Astyanax mexicanus: one gene and its partners. Each later gene encodes a partner of the first gene's protein in a complex. Links are inferred from orthologs where the notes say so. Each region holds a gene or a part of one and is shown on either strand. Other genes may lie near its edges. The genes, in order: gins4, gins1 and mcm4.

Evidence for each region.
Region 2: the proteins of gins4 (region 1) and gins1 are in contact, whole or in part, in a crystal structure (PDB 2E9X), measured with the Homo sapiens proteins. The link is inferred for Astyanax mexicanus from reciprocal best matches to the Homo sapiens genes GINS4 and GINS1. Residues at the interface, in NP_115712.1 of Homo sapiens: Met55, Glu59, Glu83, Arg84, Arg86, Tyr87, Leu89, Ser90, Leu93, Arg94, Leu97, Glu101, Phe104, Glu125, Glu126, Phe129, Glu132, Phe133, Asn136, Thr137, Tyr140, Leu141, Val144, Ala145, Leu146, His148, Met149, Pro150, Pro151, Asn152; in NP_066545.3 of Homo sapiens: Phe24, Leu29, Leu33, Met36, Tyr40, Leu69, Leu70, Arg73, Thr76, Val77, Leu80, Tyr81, Leu84, Arg88, Trp92, Glu109, Glu110, Trp113, Asn116, Tyr117, Ser120, Leu121, Tyr124, Ser127, Leu128, Gly129, Gly130, Asp131, Leu134, Ile136.
Region 3: gins4 (region 1) and mcm4 share a complex: the UniProt entries of both Homo sapiens proteins name them as parts of the CMG helicase complex. The link is inferred for Astyanax mexicanus from reciprocal best matches to the Homo sapiens genes GINS4 and MCM4.

Annotation. Positions count from the first base shown.
Region 1 is NC_064419.1:27,448,229-27,453,021, forward strand, and holds the start of gins4 (DNA replication complex GINS protein SLD5), read right to left. Parts: upstream 2,787-4,793; 5' UTR 2,564-2,786; coding exon 2,462-2,563; intron 1,002-2,461; coding exon 915-1,001; intron 1-914. Other genes in the region: cytochrome c oxidase subunit 5B, mitochondrial, read left to right, coding at 4,430-4,526. UniProt on the Homo sapiens protein: Required for correct functioning of the GINS complex, a complex that plays an essential role in the initiation of DNA replication, and progression of DNA replication forks.
Region 2 is NC_064414.1:30,474,680-30,479,472, forward strand, and holds the start of gins1 (DNA replication complex GINS protein PSF1), read right to left. Parts: upstream 3,227-4,793; 5' UTR 3,051-3,226; coding exon 2,976-3,050; intron 1,820-2,975; coding exon 1,755-1,819; intron 1,648-1,754; coding exon 1,549-1,647; intron 872-1,548; coding exon 781-871; intron 688-780; coding exon 571-687; intron 1-570. UniProt on the Homo sapiens protein: Required for correct functioning of the GINS complex, a complex that plays an essential role in the initiation of DNA replication, and progression of DNA replication forks.
Region 3 is NC_064413.1:412,791-417,583, forward strand, and holds the start of mcm4 (DNA replication licensing factor MCM4), read right to left. Parts: upstream 3,247-4,793; 5' UTR 3,156-3,246; intron 1,999-3,155; 5' UTR 1,987-1,998; coding exon 1,929-1,986; intron 1,536-1,928; coding exon 1,383-1,535; intron 1,088-1,382; coding exon 957-1,087; intron 832-956; coding exon 730-831; intron 168-729; coding exon 72-167; intron 1-71. UniProt on the Homo sapiens protein: Acts as a component of the MCM2-7 complex (MCM complex) which is the replicative helicase essential for 'once per cell cycle' DNA replication initiation and elongation in eukaryotic cells.

The DNA of each region.
Region 1 (4,793 bases):
AGTGCTCTCAGGAAACCATAACAGTGCAGGCAAGTATATTGTTAGTATTGTTAGAGAGAAAGAGGTACCACTGGGGGGTGGACAATATCGTATTTCTGCAATAAAGATATTCTTGGTAATATGACAAAACACTACATATCACAACACGTAACAAAAATATATATCACAATGTTAACATGCAGAATATTTAGGTTATGTATATAAACTCTAAACATAAAAATATTTACAAAAATAATCCATAAAAACCTCACAGAAAATAGCAAAACAAATAAAAAAATGACTAATTTAAAAACAGAATACCACTAATACGTATTACGATTATTATTGTATTGTAATGTATTAAGTATTGTAATATTATTACAAGAATTTGTGTTTTTTCTTTCAATTTTTAAAAACTATATTACCATGTATGAAATGGTTTACCCTAGTATCTACCCTTTTTTACATTAAAAAAAAGTTGGATAAAGGCTAAACACTATTTAATTTCCAGACAAGGTATGAGACAAAGATTCATCTAATCCCTATAGCTTTCATTTATTTATTATATATTTAGGTAAACAGGGTGCCTTATTTATCTGATGGTTTTATCTGAATGTACATCAGATGACTGCTTTAGGCAATACCACTTACAGAAGACCATTAGGCACTTTTAGCAGTGGATGAGTTACAGCAGAAACCTGAAGTCAGCTCTACCAGAGATTATGAGTGTTATAAAAATGAGGATTATGCACCAGAATGCTGAAGCTCCATATTAGGGAACTCCTGAGGTGATAGAAGAATAAAAAAAGGCTAAATGTGCCCTAGAAAGCATTAAATCCAAAAACCCTGCAGTGCAGTCTGACTTCTAGCCCTAAAGCTAACACACACACACGTATATACTGCTTCTTCACATCCCATTCATCATCCATCCTTACCATGTGAGTGAGCTGCTCCATCACACACTCCACCAATTCAGACTTGTTCTCCAGAAGCTCTGGGGAGAATTTCTCATTCAGCCAGGCCTGAAAAACAGAAAAACAGCTTATTAATACAAAGTAATCACAAAAAAAAAAAATAATAATAACAATCAAAATCACCATATATCCAAAAATATCCAGACACATGTTCTGCTTAGTTCTTTACATTTCAGTTACTTTAAACTGCCCTCATTTCTAACCCATGATTTGTATAAACTCTATAGAAAAAAAAAAAACTAAAACTAAAAAACTAAATGTGAGATTCTGAAGTAATCACATGATCAATATGGACACCATATAAACCTATTGGCACCATGCCTGTTGTGTTCTGATAAATTACTGTGGTTCATTCAGTGCTTTTGTGCTGAGTTGGTGAGTTTAAGATAAGGTGGGGTGTTGATCCAACATCCTGATCTCACAGCAATGTCCTACTACAATCTAGTAAAATCGCGTGCTTGTTTCTTTGTGGACCGAAAACTCCCAGTTGGACCTACAAGCGGTCAGTGTAACGTTAATCAGTTCAACTTTAAGGTAAATTAGATTTCATTACTAATAAATATTAATACATTTCATTATTTAATTTTGTCCACTTAACAACTAGTTTTCAATTAATTTCTTTTTTCATTTCTGTCTCTCATGATCTGAATTACAGGAAGTTTCATGAAATTTATTTTTTTCATCTTGTAAAAAGAAAATAGATATCATTATACCATTAGTATACCAGATTTTTGTTACAAAATGCAAAAACTGTACAATCAGAAAACTGAATAAAAAAAATAAAAAAAATGATGTATTTTTATTTCTGATCACTAGTGGCAAAAAAAAAAAAAAAAAAAAAAAAAGAATTAATTCAAAACACATGAAGGTTACACTGACTTTTTTTTACACCTTGCTGCTTACTCAAAAGATTAAAACGTACTGGTTTCAAAACTATTTAAAGTATAAAAGTAAAACTAATGTAAGGGGGAAAATGTAACAAGGGACAAAACACAAAAAATAATTAATATAAAATACAATTTTCCATCTTGTAAAAAGAAGGTAGGTATGATTAAACCATCAGATTTTTGCTACAAAATGCAAAAAAAAATAAATAGAAAACTGAATAAAAAACTTAAAAAATTATTTCATGATCATTAATTAAAAACACATAACAGATCACTGTTACATTGACTCCAAACACCCTGGTTTTAGAATGTATGCGACTTGTTTATGAAGGCATTCTGGCGCCATTTATTACAATATTTTGTCCTCTTTTCACTCAGGTAGGTTATACAACTGCTGTCAATTTAAAATAAATAAATCTTACGGACTGCTGCTTTAAACAGCAGCAGACTGTTTCTCAGAGCAGAGTCTCCTTATTCCAGTACAGAGAGCAAGCAGCCTGTTTAGAGGCAGAGGAGCTGAGAGACCCTGCTGCTACTGGACAGTCCTAAGCCTCAGGTAAAGATCTGCACGGTGAAACAGAGCCGCCAGCTTCTGCAGTAAAGGTTAAAGAAACGACTGACCTCCTCCAGCCTGGAGATGAGTTCAGCTGGAGTCAGAACGTCCTCCTGACTCTCATCTTCTCCGCTCAGATCTCCAGCGTCCGACAACTCATCATCAGCCATGACCCAAAGTTCCTAACGTACCCGGAGATACGAGTCTTTAACACCGTCCTTCTCCTAAAGCACAGGGTTAACTGACCAAGATGAACACAATCACAGAGCAAAATCCAGCGGATAACCGCGCTGAACGCGTCTGTAAACACAGTCAGTAGTTTAACAGCAGCCTCTCACTGACACAGACCAACAACACACACCAACACACAGCGCGCACTAAGATTTCCCGCCAAACAGCAAGAGTTTCCCGTGTCGTCATTATTTCTTCACGGAGGTTATGCTCCGTAGATCTGCGCAGTGTATAATATCCAAAACAGTGGGTTATGCTGTTATGGTGAGGTTATGCGTAAACCTGCTCAGAGGTTAGAAAGTTTGTACATAAAACAGCAAAATGTGCAGGATATATGACAAATTGAAAAAAAAAAAAAAAATTTGTTATTAAATCATTATGTCAATATTTACATATTTAATAAAATCAAAATCTAAATAATGAAATTAAAAAAAATTCAAACAATAAAAATACATTCTAAATGCATTAAATCAATTTTATAAAACTAATTTATTTACTATCTATTGTTATTTAGTTTTTTTTTCTGCAAACAATTCTTATTTTATATCTTATATTTGTAACAACATGAACAATAATGAACGATAATACAATCATGAAAATAATAAATTTAATTTTGCGTCAACTACTTTGCGTTCTACTTTTTTTCACTAATTCATTTACTAATTACTATTATTTACTCTTTTTACAAAAAAAGAGTTGGTTGGTTGGTTGGTTGGATATTTGATCTCAGTAAGAACAAAAGCTTAGGCTGTGCCACAGGGTCCTGTAGTGCACAACTTAAAAAAAAAAATCTAAAAGACATAATGACTATAATGTTACTTTAAAATCTGAAAATGTTGAAAACAATTGCACTACAGTGCCATCCCTGTGTCAGCCACATATGCGCCCATTGAAAATGAATGCATTTAGTACAATGTAAATGGACATCTTTATACTAGGCTACATATGTCTGCTACAGCTCTGGAAAAATTAAGAGACCTCTTAAAAATTACGAGTTTCTTTGATTTTACCAAATTGAAAACCTCTGGAATATAATCAAGAGGAAGACGGATGGTCACAAGCCATTAAACCAAGCTGAACTGCTTGATTTTTTTGCACCAGGAGTGGCATAAAGTTATCCAAAAGCAGTGTGTAAGACTTGTGGAGGAGAACAGGCCAAGATGCATGAAAACTGTGATTAAAACCAGGGTTATTCCACCAAATGTTTATTTTCTGAACTCTTAAATCTTTATGAATATGAATTTATTTTCTTTGCATTATTTGAGGTTTGAAAGCTTTGTATCCTTTTTTCGTTAATTTGACCATTTCTCATTTTCTGCAAATAAATGCTCTAAATGAGAATATTTTTATTTGGAATTTGTGAGAAATGTCTGTAGTTTATAGAATAAAACAACAATGTTCATTTTACTCAGAAATTTTACCTATAAATAGCAAAATCAGAGAAACTGATTCAGAAACTGAAGTGGTCACATTTTTTTCTAGAGCTGTATATCCTTGCTGCAGTGTGAAGTGGAGAAATGTAAGAAGTACATCTTACAGATAATTGTGTGTAAATGTAAGAAGTAGAAGTTAAAGGTCTTGTTTCTCCAGTAAAGTATAGATAGAAAATCAACATTTCTACTTCAGTAAGGTAAATAAGTATTTGTACTGTAGTTATTTGACCCCTGTGTATGAACTGAACTGTAATGAGTGGATTAGTCCTCCTGACAGCAGGGGCAGGAGAGTCCTCCGCTCTCTGTAGAGGAAGCTGGTTTAGATAAGCTTCCTCTCAGTCGGACTCACTTCAGATCCCGTTCAGCAGCAGAATGGCGTCCAGGTTCCTCGTCCGAACTGCGGTGAGAGCCGCTCTCTCCAGGCGGGCTGCCCCGGTCCAGGCCGCTGCTCGGGGGTTCGCAGCTGGAGGTGATCCGCTCTTTACTCTCATTTATAACCGTCTGAGTGAAAAACAGCCGCAGCGGAAACTGTATTTAATGATCAGATTAGCCTCCTTAGCTTAGCTCACCCTGAGAGACTGAAGGACGAAGCTAGGGCGCTCACATCCTGCTGCGGGTTCAGTTAATGACTTTATCTATCTGACACTTACAGATCTCTGTATTAATAACTGTTCTGAACCTGTGATTAATTTGCGCTGGACTGCTGTATTTACTACCAGACAAAGTGACCTGTTAA
Region 2 (4,793 bases), on another chromosome or scaffold:
CATCAGTTTTTACTGATTTATCAGAGCTAGGGACCTGGTGCTCTCCTCTGACTGTGTTGGTGGGTAAAAGTGGCCCAAATCCAATATTTAGTATAAGCTGTTCACACAATCTTTAATGTCAGCCATAACTGACATCTGTCAGATTCAAGTTATGCTCCTCTGGTAACAGGTAGAAAAGAGGTGGTGGCTGACTTCACACATATGGGAGGAGCCATATTCTTGCCCTACCCCTGTTAGGGACCAAGGACATTACAAATGAGGATGAAAGTTTATAGTAAGTCAGTGGATTAATTTGGCTAGGCTAAAATATTGTAAAATAAAAAGAAATGTTTTTTTTTTTTTTTCATTATGGAATGAAATCTGAAAAAATTAAACGTAAAGTTTTTTTTTTTTCCATTTCTCGTACAGCTTCTGTTTTGGAGATACTGTTTTTGTGTGATTTGAGTCATGCTACACAACTAGGTGTGTTCAGAGTCTTTGGTGGAGTGTTTGTCCAACCAGCGAAAGAAGAGAAAGTAGTGGTGTTACCCATTACACCATACCATCTCTTGTGGCTGTAAGACATCTTACCTCAATATACAGACTCTTGGGGGGCTTCATGTCTTGTGTTATATCCAGGCCTTCGTCTCCTCCAAGTGACCTCATGTAAGTGGCCAAGGATTTCTTGTACTGATTGAACCACTCCAACTGCAGTTTTAATAATAAAAAATGAAATATGTATTACCTCATTTCCAAATAAGGAAATACTGAATAACTTGGTCTTAAAAGTAAAAAACACACCTCTTCTGCACACATGTGGAAACGAATCGTGGTGGGCAACACACTCCCATACTCCCATCTGAGAGCACGGATTCGAAGGAGGCGATCATAACTGTTAAAGTGGGATAGGGGTGTAAAAGTAATAGTGAAATACTTTGATATTCATTAGATCAAGTAATAAAGTAGAAGAACAGGAAAACAATGCACAAAATATACCTCAAAACAAATATGTAGATATATTTATAAAATTCATATAAATAAATAATAGAAAAGGGGATAGAAATTACTATATGTATTTAATATACACAATAGACAATCTGGAAAACACTGAATAGCCAGTTTGTAACAAAGACATTTGCATGGTTAATATGTAGAGTATAAAATGCAACAAAAAATGCAATTTTGCTAAACTTGTGCAGAACCTTTATTATAATAATGAATATTGAATGTCCTGTGAGCAATGAATGTATATAAATTAAGACTTAGGGCTCTATTTTAGTGAACTATAGTGTATCGGTCAATTGTGGATCGCACAGCTTGATTTTGGATGTTTCGGTGTGTCTTTGGTGTCAAGAAATACTAATTCTTTTGTATTTTTTGTGTCTAACATAAAATAAACCAATCAGTGTGCCAGTCGTCGTTCTCTTCAAGAGCCAGGTGTGCTCTGACTTTGGCACGTTCATATCTTAACAGCACAGCGCTTTTGCCTGTCTCAGCAGAGGAACTGACCTGTATAATAGAGCCCTTAGAGTTACTTGAGTAGTATTAGAGCAGATCCAGGTTACTCACAGGTAGGCTGTGATACATCGCTGGTTCCTCAGCAAGCAGCAGTGACGAAACTTGATGGTTGGGATCAGTTCACTCCTGCCTTCAGTTTTAGCCTCATTACTTTTAAGAGGGTCAAAACAGATATGTTGTTAATCAGATATAACACGAAATGTAATGGGATTGAAGAAAATCACAGATGGCAAAAGGTAAGAAAGTTGGTATCTTACACATCAGTTTGGTTCTGCTCATATAAAGCTTTCATTTCTTCAAGCACCTGCCGAATGTTGTCCTCCTGCAGAGATAAATGCTGGTTATTACTTGTGCACATGTAAGATGGACTTCTGCACCCTTAATACTGTATATTAGAGTGAATGTACGCCTGTCGCAATAATTATTACACAAAAAAAACTACAATAAAATTGTATAACCATTTTAAGACCAACTTATGCCACTGATATAATAACAAAATAGCCTACTAATGCGATATTTCTTTTAAAGAGCAAAGAATGTTGATAATTAAGGATGTTAAGACATTGAACTAAACTGAACAATAAACTAAAATATGAAAAATGTAGTATATGTAGTAAATTTTGTAGGAGTAATAAGTAAAACCAAAAAATAAACATGTTCTAATAAAGTAAACACGTCAGACAATATATTGAGTTCAGCAAAAAATGATTGTAGTCATGACTAATTATTGTACAATAAGTCAATAATGTAATTATTGTGACAGACCTAAGCATAGAGATAAAGGTAGGAACTCAAAGGTAAAAACATGAAGGTGAATCATGTTGGCCTGCCTCTACAATGAGGAGATAACTTCAGAAAGTCCAGTTATTGTATTTTGCTCGTTCCACAATTAAAACCCTTCAGAAAGGAACTAAAATATGCACTAAACAAATGGTTTATTGCCAACCTAAAACCTTCAACTTCCATCTTATTCACCTGTTATTTGAGATTTAGTCATCAGTTTCACCATTTTATTTGTTATAAAAAGACCATGTATCTTCATTTTTTACCTGCTACACTGTCCACAGTGCACAACACAATAACAAAGTATTTTTCTGTTGTTGTAGTTCTTGTCATTTCTTATATTTATTGTATGTACTTATGTAGGTTAGCTACACACTGTGCAATAATATTATCAGACTACTATTATTATTATTTACTAGCTAACCTACTATCTGTGCTGCTTCTGTATCTACAGCTAGCTAAACTATATGGCTCAGCGTACCCGTTTCAGAACCAGTTCACTAACCAAGATTTAATTAAACTGGTTTAGCTTAGCATCTACTTTAGTGACATCAAAAAGCCGCACTGTTTCCTAAATAAAAACATAAATACAGTTATTTCAGCTATCACGTTTATTATAATCACATTAACCCAGGCCTATTCAGTCTGGTTAGTTGAATGGATGCAGGGTATCTATAAATAATAAATATACTCACGTTAAAAGCGGGCAGCTGGCCATCAGTCATCCGGTGAAGCTCTCGAATAAGTTCCACAGCCTTTTCGCAGAACATGATTAAACTGATATATAAAGTAGGACCTTGTAGCTTAGTTAACTAACGCTGTTTAATACAGACTGTATTTAATACAAACTGTATTCATAGACTGTATGTTAGCGTTATATCAGTCTGTGCTTCTCCCGCTGCTCCTCACACACGATTTTCGCGGCAGAATGCGGTGTTTTGATCACGTGACCCTTTCGATAACTACGGAACGCAAAGTGGGACACTCCGTCTGGTCAGAAAATCTAGTAAAAGTAAACGTACGCTTATTCCAATAATACATTAGAAATTAATGAAAAGCCTTATTTTTAATTCTCTAAAGACATGGGGCCCTCCTAGAACATGTGCAAAAAAAGTAGAAGGATGATTTCTGAAGTGTACAGCTATATAGTGTACAGGTATTTTGTGCAGGAAAGTTGATTGGATGGCATTGAATAGTACAGATGAACAATGATCCTAAATATACTGTAAAAACAATCCAAGAGTTTTTTTTTTAAGGTAAAGAAGTGGAATACTCTGCAGTGGCCGAGTCAATCACCAGATCTGAACCTGATCAAGCAACATTAAGTCATTACTTTAGATAAAACTAAAGGCAGAAAGGTTCACAAACCAGCAACAACTGAAGACTGCTAGAGTAAAGGCCTGGCAAAGCACCATAAAGGAAAAAAACAGTGTTTGGTGATGTCAGTGGGTTTCAACCTTTATTCTCAAGAAGGTATTAAAAATTAACATTTTATTTATGGTAAAGTTCATTTGTCCAATAACTTCTGAGCCTCTGACTTTTGTAGAAAAAGGTTATAATTCCTAAAAACTTAATAGGATATTTTTGATCAGCCCCTTAAATTAAACCTGAAACACTTCAATAACACCTCAAGTGTTTCATTTGAAATCCAGTTTAGTGTCACTGTCCAAATATTTAAGGACTAACAGTATGTCTGGAGGCAAATGTTTATCTGATGATCCTGTAACTAAATGCACTATTTTTTATATTTATTAATATGCATGGTTATGGGTATTTATGGACCATTCATTGTTGAGCGAAACATTACAAATACTAACAATACATTTCTGAAGATGAACACTGAATGAACACATTACAAATATAGATATAGTTACAAATATGTTAATATTCACTTTAGAGAACCTTGTGGACATTTTATACAGTTTTATTTGATGTGTTAGTGGGGTTTTGCCATGTCCACAGTGCTGCCAGGATTAGTTGGTATGGGTAATTAACACATTATTTAATTTTTCAAAATTTTCATAAGTATTTGAGGATACTTTGTCAATAATTTAGGCTATTTAGCCTATTTTTAGAAAAAATATTAAACTATTTAAACGAGCATGAGAATGCCCCATAGACTGTATATAAATAAGTATGGACAGCACAACAGGGGTTGAAAAGTGAAGCCACCACGTCTCTTACGCCCTCTGGTGGCTGGTTCCAGTACAGCTTTTAACCCCATCCATTCACCTGTATGAGAGATGGCGGAATCTTTAATCTAAAATTACACATTAATTTTTGGAAGGTTCTGTACATTCTGCAAGCCCCCCTCCTGTGTTAATAACCCCTAGGGTTTGTCTTTACAGTTAATACGTTTTATAGGAGTTATTCCGTGATATTTAAAGGGGTGTGGCGATGTGGTGATTGGCAGCTGAGGGCAAGTTGATTGACAGGTCTTCCTATTTTACTGTTAAAAATTAGATTTCTGAAGTAAAGCAGTGGCTTGTTCAGCAGTTAACAGGGAAAAGTTC
Region 3 (4,793 bases), on another chromosome or scaffold:
GAAGCTACATGTACACAATATTACTGAATTAAGTTGAACTTTTCAACATGCGACTCCAGCACTCTGCTCACCTCGTCCAGTTTCTGCAAGTAAAGCGGCTCATTAAGATCCAGACTTGCGTTCTCATCCTCCCGGGACTCCGGATCAATAAATCGCTGCAGGAAGCGCTGCCAATAAAAATACAAAACACACTTCAGTCACATTTATTCAAACGATTAATACAGAAATCTAGGATTAATGTTGGGTAGCAGAAACAATAAAGGTGATTATACATGTTAGGAGCTGTTTTTAATGCTGTGGCTGATCTGTGTTTGATATGAGTGTGAATTAAGTATTAGGCAAAGTATATAGAGCTTTTTTTTATAGGTTTGATGCTTTTTAAAATGAGAATAATGTGATGTTCTAAGTTACTGAGTTTAAATGTGAGATTTAATAGAGGAAATGAACTGAAGACTGAGAGAGCGAGCAGTGATGTGTCGACAGTTTGGAGAAAAATGAAGAGTGAATGAAAGTAGTGAATGGCTCAGTAGATAAACACACACTCATTAGGAGAAATGTGAAATCTACTAGGAGGTGAAAGTGCGTAGCTACACGCTAAAAACTGAAAAATATTTCCAATATTAGCATTTCTTCTTCGTGTGTCGTGTTATTATATTTTATGATGTTCTACAGAGGAAAGTTCTGCAACAGAAGGTTTGGAAATGTTGTGTGATGCTGCTCTGAGCTCACCTGAAACTTCTCCTTACAGGTTCCCACATTAACATCAGTTCCCCAGATGACGAGTCTCTGACCAGCGGCCTGCTCACTGGCTACAGCAGCTTCTCCAGACGGCTGATAGGAGGAGAAAATTCACACTGATTAACACACACACACACTAATAACTCAATACTAATCAATACAACACTGATCTAAACTAATCGAACTAATCAAATCATAACTCAGACTTTAACACTCACCGTGTCAGAGTTCAGGTCCACTTGCGGAGCCTTTCTGACAGACCCCAGATCAGGTCTCTGTCGAGCCGGCGTTCCTCTGCTCGGTGTGTCGTATATGAGAGGAGAGCTCATATCCACTTCACTCTGAGGAACTGGATCAAACAAAGCATTTAGTACATATTCCTGTTTCTTTCTTTATGCATGCGTCTCATTTCTGCTAGAATTAGACCTTTAAGTATCTAGAATTAACCCCTTAACGCCTGTTGTTGCAAATATGCGACTAACCGTTTGATTCAATCAACCTGCCAAGATAGCGCCTGCATTCCCCCAATGCCTGTTAGTGCACCAACTGCTAAATAACTTTTCTGTGCTCCAGAAAATACCCAAAGCTCTAGCTGAGTACTCTCTCCTGAACCCTGGCGATGGATGGATAGATAGATGTAGTACCGGAGCGTCGGGGCATGGGGCTGGAGAAGAGGGAGGTGTCCTGTACCGCGGGGCTCTGCAGGTCTGTACCCGGGGACGTCGGCATGGGCTGCAGTTCTCCTGTAGACGGCTCACGAGCGCGAGGAGACGGAGACAGGACATCCTCACTACCAGCTAAAATCACACAAACAAATAAAACAATTAAACTATTAAAACAACAGACAAAAGATCAGTGACTCCATATACACAGTGTGAACAGACTGCAGCAGGTGAAGAAATAAAATATAGATCTATGATTAATTCAAATGTTGTCTTTAAGAGTATAATTGCTATATTATGCTCTCCCTTATTATGACATCAGTGGTATTTAAATAGTCATAAAATTATAATATAATTTATAATATAGATAAAATGATTTACAAAATATAATCGTGACAGTACTTGTATTTACCTTCAAATACACGAAGGTTAAAAGTTAACACTCTTCATCATGTTTTATTACAACCTAAGTGCATTTCACACCAGATTTCTCTTGTAAAATAATAAATAAACTGTATTTAAACTCACGGGTTGGAGGATTGCTGCTCCTGCCTCGCTTGCGGGCGCTCGAGGATGGGGAAGACATTTTGAACACTCACTAAAATAAAAACATTTTTACACATAGTTAGTTAATGTTAAATCAGTAAAGTAAGCAAACAAGCAAAGTTTTTTTTTTATTATTTCCACATGAAACAAAGAGCTAAAAAGAGGCATTACAGTCAAATCCAGGTCCGGAAAGTGCAAATCCACTACAGTATTTCGCTCCAGCTGCCAAGATTTGCACTTTTTTTATTTAAAAAAAAATTACTAATTTTAGTATATAACAAACTTCACTAAGTTAGTATTTTTATTCTAAACCGCCCTGGCAGTTGGGGCGAAACACCGGCGCGGATCCAAACTTTTCGGATCTGGATTTGCCACTTCTAGTTGCTAGGTAGATAAAATAGTTTTTTTTTTTAAATAGTGGATTGGTAAAACGAGTTAAAATAATAAAATGGTCGGGAAAGGACAAATCCACTCCGGGATTTCGCTCCAATTCCATAAGCAGTTCATAATGAAAACAGTAACTTAATAAAGTAAAATAGTGAAACAGTGGATTAGTACCGTCAGAGTTTGTACAAATAGTAAATTTAGTCCGGAAAGTGCGAATCCACTCCGGGATTTCGCTATAAATTCATAAGAATTGAAATACTGAAAAAGTAAAACAGTGAAATTGTAAAATAGTTAATAGTAAAAGTGGTTTAAAATAGTAAAATAGTGCGGAAAGTGCAATTCCACTCCTGGATTTCGCTCCAACTGCCTGGGCGGCTCTGCTGCAGCTCAGCTGCAGCAGAGCCGCCCAGGCAGTTGGTGCGAAATCCCGGTGCGGATTCGTACTTTCGGGACCTGGATTTGCCACTACTTGTTGCTGGGCAGATAAAATCAGTAAAATAGTGTATTTTAGATGTTTAAACATAGATAAACATCAACAAAACGTGCGTATTTACATACAGATACATCGTTAACTACATATCAATATTAAAAACACCTTTATTATTATAACAAAACATCAAAATCCAAAGTCTTACTAATTCAACTAACTTTATTTAACGTTTTTAATATTTACTAATTAGTGATTAGTAATTCCAGCTACGTTAATCACAAAATCACACCTTATAATTATAAAGAATCGCTTTAAAACTCTTGTTTTAACTTTTGCTTGTTTTTAAATTATTCGCGTTTTTTAACACAAAAGAAAAAACACGAGGAACTTACCACTGCGGATCCTTCTCTCCAAATACATGCAGAGTGGCGCGAAATCGCTGGCGTGACGTCGTTTTCGCGGGGAAATTCTGACCAATCAAACAGACGTGCAGACTTGGAACGATCCACTCCATATGTACAGAGGGAGGTAGCTAAATAGATATTGTTGTTTTAAATCGATATTAAGTGTTTTTAACAAAGTTACCAACTAAAAATGACTATTTATAAAAGTTTTATACAAAATATACCTTACAAAGTTAAAAAATAAAACTAAAGTTGCGATTTTTAATCAGTGTTATAAACAAAAGCTTTGTTTCACATTGGTTTGATCCACAGTTTTCGCGGCAAATATCGACGACAAAGAAGAGCTACCACGTGACTTAAATAAGGGGTTGTTATTTAACCCTTTATGGTAGGAATTATATATTTTTGAAGGAAAAATACGATTTTTGAAAGCTAGGGAGTCCCTGTGAATATATCAAATATAATCTAAATTATAAACTAATCATTTAAATCAAAAGTTATAGAGCAAGGGAGCATAAAACACTAGTTTTTACAAGAATATAGTAAGAATATAAACAGACAAATATATATATATATTTTTTTTTACATGTTCTTGCACACATATTTTAAAAAAATACTTTTATTAATAACTCACTTGTGCGTCTCATTGTATTGGAAGTAGATAAGCCATGTAACATTGCATTAAAAATAAATAAACACGTTTATAATTATAGAAAAGAAAATAAAGCATTTTTTGCTACAGAAGTCCTTTAAAGCTAGTGATATGGAACTTAAAACATTCAATTAAAGCGATCAAATTGTTGAAATAATGGGAACAGGGCTGTAGAAGCCGAACAATCTACTATTTAAAGGAGCTAGTTTTAATTTTACCTTCATTATGTAAATTAGATGACATTAAGGGGTTAATGTAAACTCTTAACAGGCCTTGGCTCGAAAAAGGGCTACAAGAGTTGGTCATAGAAAATCCTTTTCTGTTCAATGAAAGGTTTGGAGGACATGAAATGTTTGATTTTTCAAGAGTCAAGAGTCTTTTACTGTCATTACATATGAGTCCAGGTACACAGTATAACGAAATTGCGTTTTTTCTGGAACTGTAGTGCAAAATGGAACAATAATACAATAGACAACATAAAGTGCAAAAGTGTAAAAATAGTGCGACATAAAACTATAACACTACAATAAATACAGCAGACGAGACAGTTTAACAGACAGGACAGTGCAGTTATTTTCTTTAGGAATATTTTAGGAATATATTGATTTTTAAATGACTTTTATTATCTTTATTTATTATTCAGCATTTGACAGTTGAACATTTTAAACATTATAAATCAATAAATGACACAAAATTAGTATAAAGTATAAAATAAAAAACAATATATAGCAATAATTACACAAAAACTTAAGTTCAGTAGTTTGCCTCTTTTTTTATTTCATTATAATTTATTAACTTGTTTGCATGGACATCCTGCTGTCTGTCTCTGGCCCTGCTCTCAGACAAAACACACACACACACACACACACACACACACACACACACACACACACACACACACACACACACACACACACACACACACACACACACACACACACACACAAAAAGGGAACAGACAGTTCTGGATTGGG